2 linked regions of the Mus musculus genome follow. The protein of the gene in region 1 interacts with the protein of each later gene in a pairwise test. Links are inferred from orthologs where the notes say so. Each region holds a gene or a part of one and is shown on either strand. Other genes may lie near its edges.

The links. The genes of interacting proteins can lie anywhere in the genome.
Region 2: the proteins of Glrx3 (region 1) and Lce1a1 interact in binary tests that used the Homo sapiens proteins (3 or more experiments, as listed by UniProt). The two-hybrid records come from large-scale screens. The link is inferred for Mus musculus from reciprocal best matches to the Homo sapiens genes GLRX3 and LCE2D.

Annotation. Positions count from the first base shown.
Region 1 is NC_000073.6:137,461,561-137,465,073, forward strand, and holds part of Glrx3 (glutaredoxin-3), read left to right. Parts: intron 1-1,400; coding exon 1,401-1,453; intron 1,454-2,537; coding exon 2,538-2,577; intron 2,578-2,854; coding exon 2,855-2,947; intron 2,948-3,513. UniProt on the Homo sapiens protein: Together with BOLA2, acts as a cytosolic iron-sulfur (Fe-S) cluster assembly factor that facilitates [2Fe-2S] cluster insertion into a subset of cytosolic proteins.
Region 2 is NC_000069.6:92,646,028-92,649,530, forward strand, and holds Lce1a1 (late cornified envelope 1A1), read right to left. Parts: upstream 2,281-3,503; 5' UTR 2,230-2,280; intron 1,162-2,229; 5' UTR 1,139-1,161; coding exon 707-1,138; 3' UTR 505-706; downstream 1-504. UniProt on the Homo sapiens protein: Precursors of the cornified envelope of the stratum corneum.

The DNA.
Region 1 (3,513 bases):
AGTAATCTCCATTTTGCTTGACTTTACCATCAGCATCTCAGCAGGGTGCATGTCTTTCTGCTGCCAAACTTTGTCAGCTGAAGTGGTCAACGCTGCTAGCGCTCAGCCAGTACCTTTTGTGAGGCTGTGGACTGTGGGCAGATGTCCGCCCTGGTTCTTTGAGGCTGTGGACTGTGGGCAGATGTCCGCCCTGGTTCTTTGAGGCTGTGGACTGTGGGCAGATGTCCGCCCTGGTAGTCCCGAGGTAGTCCTTAGGTCCAGAAAGTGAGAAGTAACCCTGGCAGTGGTCCTCGTGCTCCGAGGTGACATGATTGCTTCTTGGGGTCCGATGGACGTAGGTACTGAACTAGTTTGGTAGGTCCCCTTGCACTCATTAAGTGGTGAAAGCTGACTCTCTCCTGTTAGATTGGTAATTTCAAAAAGCTAGTCCTGTCATTTCTCTTACATTTTGCTGTTAACGGTTGTTTCAGCTGTTTAACTTCAGGCAGGCAAAGCTGTGCAGTTTGCTTTCCTCTCAGGATAAGGAGACTAAATCTCAGAAGGGTGAGGCAGTGGAGTGAGGAAGCTGCCCAGGTACAAGCCACCCTGGGCAGGCAACGCCACAGAGGCCCCTGCCGTCATTGTGCCTTTTTGTGAATGGATCTGTTAATGCCATAGGACTGTTTTAACATCAGGTTGTCGTAAAGGTTGCCATGGTATCAACACAGTGAAGGCCATTAGTTAAAACAACTAATTAGTTAATGTAGCTAGTGTGATGAAGTAATGAGGAAGACATTAATATAAATTTAGCCTGTAGATACCACTGTGTTAGGACCTAGACTGTAACTGGGGCAATGCACAGTGTTAATTAATGACTTACAGTAATGATGAAGCGCACTCTTGCTCTGCCACTGTTGAAAGCAGACTTTGATTCTCCACATTTCTTGTGCCTGTCTAGGAAGAATTTGTATGTCTTGGAAATGGTGTCCTGGGAGCTCTTAAGTTGTTGTGTATTGTCAGCCTTTTCTCCCAGGATAGCTGGGGCTTGGGGATCTACCCAGGAATAAAGCCGAGGATTTCAATCACTTCCAGTAGCTGATGCCACAGCGCCAAGATCTGGCTTAACCGCGTTCTGACTCTTTGCTTAGAGCAAGAAAAAGGCTGGTGGTTCTGTGTAGATGATCTACGTTTTATTTAGGGGACCATCCTGACCACAAAGATTTTAAGCTGCTGCATGTCACTCAACTTAAAAGGTTAAAGCCAAAGTCAGTCTGAAGGTTGTGTGGGATGATGTCAGAGGGGATGGAAGAAGCACAGGAGCCGGGTCCACAGAGAGGTCGGGGTGCTGACTAGAGCATTCGAAGTGGCCACACTCACTGGGTCTGTGGAAAAAAAATGTACTTTTTTTTTTTTAAATTCAGGAAGCAAAATGTGGATTCAGCAAACAAATTCTGGAAATACTGAATAGTACTGGGTATGTAAATCTTGTGTTCCATTCTGCTCCTGATACTTCACAGTTTTAATGTTTAAACATATTTGCACAATACTTATTTATTGACACACATTTCTAATTTTTATAGTGTATTTTGAATGCTTTAACTTGGACCAAAAAGGACTTTTCTGGCCCTTGTTCTCACCATGCATAAAAAAGTACAGGGAGACAATCACATAATTAGCATTTTTCTGAAGCCTTGGCTTTCAGAGCTAGGAAGATGGCTCAGTGGTTTAGTGTGTTCTGCTCTTTAAGAAGTTGAGAGTTGGTTCCCAGCATCCATATCAGGCATCTCAAAGCTGCCTGTAACTCAGGTCCTGGAGGACCCGAAGCCTCGGCCTGCTTTGTGTGGAGTATGGTGAACTGTTTAAGTCTCTGCTCCTGTGTTGGAGCTGCTGGGCTAGAGATGTCCGGTGGGGGCTCCCTGATTGATTTTTGTGCTTAAAACCAAATCCATCTGTGTGGAGCTGTTTAGTACATGTTCTTTTGGACATTTTTTCAAATGTTTGATTTCTCTTGTTTCATGATTGCTTTTCAAATTACAGTATGTGTTCTGATCATACTTTGAATAGATAGCCTGTTCTCTGAAGTTGCAGATCTGAAGTTGCAGGGTGGAAGGCAGTTATGTAGCACAGTTTGAATATGACCTTTAAAAAGTGGCTCTTCCTTTTAAAGCAGGATTGGGGTCCAGCAAGCTGGGGTAGAGGGTGTAGGTGCTCATCCCCCAAGACTGGTGCTCTGCGTGTGAGCCACATAGTGGAGGAGAGCTGACTGCTTCTACAAGTTGTCCTCTGACTGACACACAGATGTCTTGGTCTTCTACTGTGCCTGAGAGAAATCTGTCACGTCCCACTGTAGCTAGTCTTGTCCATTGAAAGACTGAGTGATTTTTGTCTTAGAACGACAAGCCTGAGAGTAAAGATCGTCCCCATGGCTTTACAGCAGGCTTCCTAGAGGAAGTGTGTTAGCGATGGACTGCTTTTCTTGACTGTATTAAAAACACTATATAGATTTTATGGTTTTGTTTAAAATGAACACCTAATAAAAATGCTTTCTCCTTTTGCAGGGTTGAATATGAAACTTTTGATATACTGGAAGATGAAGAAGTAAGATATAGGTTTTCTGTTTCTCTCTCTCCTTTTTTTGGTTTTTGTTTTTTGTTTTTCCAAGACAGGGTTTTTCTGTGTAGCCCTGGCTGTCCTGGAACACACTTTGTAGACCAGGCTGGCCTCGAACTCAGAAATCCACCTGCCTCTGCCTCCCAAGTACTGGGATTAAAGGCGTGCGCCACCACGCCCGGCTAGGTTTTCTGTTTTATCCCATGTTTTAGCTTTGTTCACAGGGTCTGATGGGAAGGATTCAGGATTTCTGTTGTTCCTTTAGGTGCGTCAGGGATTAAAAACGTTCTCAAATTGGCCAACCTACCCTCAGCTGTATGTGAGAGGGGATCTTGTTGGAGGATTGGATATTGTCAAGGTAAGAGCTTTTCACTGCTGTTCTCAAGAATTGACATACTTGTTATGTTTAAGCATCCAGCTGGGGTGGTGTGGGGCTCCTCCTCTCCAGCCTGTCAGTGTAGGTGCGCGTCTCATGCTTCCTCCTGCTCAGCTGCCAGGCAGAGGGAAACGCTCTAGCTGAGTGTCCAGATGACCTCAGAGGACCTGCTGTGCTAACTACTGCACAGCTTCCTTCCCTGTTTTCTTGTCTGTCAGTCCATCTTTACCTGGTTCCCGAAACTTTAGGTTTTCTTGTATCTTCCGTATTTAGATCTTTTTATCTCCATCCTTTGGGGCCCAACTTCTTTTGTAAATGTGTATTTCTCCTGCTGGGAACATTTCTCTGCTCTAAAATTCTTACTGCATTTTTATTTTTTGTTAGTTGTAATTGTTTCTCTGGGTCATTTTCCTTTTCCCTTAACCACCCTTAACGTGCAGGCGTGAGGATGAAGACTAGGAGATCATGGTCTGTCTCGGCCTTCCCAGTTCTGAGATTACGGGTATGAGCCATCAAAGCCGGCCCTACATTATTACTTCAAATCCTTC
Region 2 (3,503 bases), on another chromosome or scaffold:
GTTGGGACTCAAAATTTTCCATATGATTTCAGCATCCCTGAGCCCAGAACAGGAGGAGAAGAGAATAACCAGCCTTCAACATGTGCCTCCTCTACTGCTTATCTGAGGTTATCATGGCAAAGGTAAGCAGCAGCCCCAGACTGATGGCTAACAGCAGAGCTGATGCGACCTCTGCTTCAACAGCAGCCACTACTGCCATCACTACTACAACATCCAGAGCTGTAATTATGACAATGGACATAATGGAGTAAAAGATATAAACCCAGAAAAAAAAATAGATATGCATCCATAGAGGAACAGTAACACCATTGGGCAACATATGGGATAGACTGACCCTCACTGTATGCAGTAAAGGTGAATAAAGAGCCACTGTCCACAACCCGTGAGTTAACCTGCTACTGTTCCACACAGCCCCGGGCTTCTGAGTCATCTTTGGAACAACTGAGCCTTAATTGGCAAAACTGATTTGTAAGATGCTTGGAGTCAAATAATCAAGAGTCTAGAGAAGATCGTTAGGGTAGAACTTTATTATTTTGTCCCCAAGAAGACAAACCCAGCAATAGGGGAACATTTAAAACATTTCACAAGATTACAGCATCTTTGAGCCCAGGACACAAAAGGCAGCAGGAGAGAAGAACAGGCCAAGGAAGGTCCACTGAACATGGCTTTCTCCTGAATGGTTTGTCTAAAGTGTTAGTTGCTCAGGTCAGCAGCAGCCTCCAGACTGCTGGCTACTGCCACAGCAGCCACTGCTGCCACCACTGCTGCCACAGCAGCCACTGCTGCCACCACTGCTGCCACAGCAGCCACTGCTGCCACCACTGCTGCCACAGCAGCCACTGCTGCCACCACTGCTACAACATCCAGAGCTATGGCGATGGCGACGGAGGGATCTGCGGGGTCTGTGATGGCTCAGGCAGCAGCCTCCACCCCCAGAGCTGCAGCAGCCTCCAGAACTGCAGCATCCCCCAGAGCTGGAGCCACAACAACCCCCAGAACCCAGACTACAGCAGGAAGACACAGGGGGACACTTGGGAGGACACTTAGGGGGGCATTTTGGAGGGCATTTTGGGGTCTGGCACTTGGGAGGACACTTGGGAGGGGGCTGGCACTGCTGCTGGTTCTGCTGGCAGGACATCTCTGCTGGTGAATGCTCTGGGGCTGTGGAAGAATCATAATGCAAATTAGAACCAGGATCCTGGGGTCATCCTATCTACTTCTAAATATCACTGATAGTCATAGAAAATCTATATTCTGTAGTTTTATTTCTAACAAACCCCAAAGCATTCTGTGATAATGGCCTGTAGAGCCAAATTATCTTCTAAACGTTGACAGGAAAAAATAGGTTCTTATTCTTAAAAAAAAAAAAAAAAAAAAAAAAAAAAAAAACAATCTCCTGTAAAAACCCATAAGTTGAGAGATTTCATAGTCTGGAAGCATCTTCAGAATAATTTCCTCCTCCACTTAATTTCTCTGAATGACATCTTTTATAATGCCACTGGGCTTGAGCTACATCTATTGTATATCATATCATGATTCTTATAAGAGTTCTATGGATTCCTGAAGCTTTCCAAACTGATAAGGATAATGACATCAGAGAAGGAAGTAAAGATTATTGCTAGGTGTTCCAACTGCATTTAATAAAAGACCTAACTTATCCATTCCTGAAGCTATGAACCAGGTCTTGTTCCTCATTTCAGGCAAATCTGAACTCATGTCAGCACCCCATGTTGACTGGTGTTTGACATAATAATTCTTGTGCTCGTTGTCTTAAAATTTCTGAGCAGCCTGTGATCTAGTTCCAGATCTATGGCTCTGTCTGCTCCAGGCCCAAAGATCCCTTGGTACTGTGTCCTCACTGTTTGTCTTGCTTTCAAGGCTTTCCAAGAGAGCTGTTACAAGAGGGAGCCCCCTCCCTCCTGAAGCCTATCAAGGTCCAAGGCTTTCTGCATTTTAGGTTTTAATCCTGAGCCCCACTCCACAGGAGGGCAGAATATCCACTCTGGATTCTTAAGTCAGAGGTACTCAATTCCTTCTAATACCTCCCATGAGTTTTAGAGTCCCCTGGACTCTACCATTCCTACCCAGCCTTCATTTTCCCCCATTGCTCTCTGCTCTGCTAACATGTCTCTGAACTCTGTGGCTTTACCCAGCTCTTTTCCACTTGCCACCTCTCCTCCTAGCTTCCTTCTAGTATAGGCCATGTTCCCAATCCCAATGGGCACTTACCAAGATTCCAGGTACACAAGATCTTTGGATACCTCGGAAGGTGAGTGAATGGAGGTGCTCTGTCCCTCAGCCCTTTTAAACTGACTCTGGGCTCTGCCCAAACCTGTGAGACAGTGGTTGGGCATGAGAGGCCCTGCCTACACTCACATGATCTTCTGATTAGTGATGAACAGATAGGTGTTCCTCACCAGCCTTCCTCTGTGGAGCTCATGGATGCTACATCCAGCATGGATGATGATGTAGACATAAGATGAGGAACTGGATTCCTGTTAACCTTCATCTCACATACCTGAAGGATCCATAGAGTATCTCATTGCTCAGCTGATCACATTACTGCTCTTTCTGAAATGATCCACACTCCAAATTTCATGTTTAAAGTACAAAACTGTGATTTTTGTGTCCGTCTTCCTCCAATTTGCCCTTTATTTTATGTTTATATTATATTTTATGTTGAGAGTGGTTTCTTCTCTTCTCATTGTCTCACCCTTAACACTATCATTAGTTCTGTTTGTTCCTATAGAAAGCTTCACTTTAAATTTCATGTCACATATACAACTTTATTTCTCTATAACAAATTGAGCAATGAAAATATGAGAGAATATACATACTTTTCTTTCTGCAACTACTTTAATTCACCTGATAGAATTATCTTAAGTTATTTCCATTTCTCTTAAAATAACTTGCTTCTTTTAGAGGAAAAAAAAACCCAATGTAAACCATATTTTCTTAATCCATCCCTCTACTGTTAGATATGTAGATTTGTCCTGTAATTCATCTATGGTGAAGACCCATGACAGTAATATGCAAGTATTTGTGCTATGTTGACTTGGTGTTCTTTGAGTAAATGTCCACAAGTATATAGCTAGATATAATAGGTCCCTTTTCCATAATTACTTGTATTATCCCTGGGGTAAGAAAGAATCTCAGTGTAGTTTAGATTTGGATTTGTGTTTCTTCTATGGCTATCAAATATGATTTTTTCAAGTGTTTGGAAGCCATTTGTATTTCCATTTCTGAGAAATATCTATTAATTCTATCAGTTCATTTATTGAGTTATCTTAGTTCTTTGTACATCAGAGGTATTAATCCTCTTTCAGATACATAGTTAGCCAAGATTACTATCATTCTGATATTTCATTTTACTGTTTTCTTTTAAGTATAGAAGCTTTGCAATTCCATAAGGTCTCATTTGTCCCTTATTAGCTTTATTTCTTGAGTAACTGCGTCCCATTCAGGAAGTCCTTGCCCATGCCAACATATTGAAGTATTTCCCC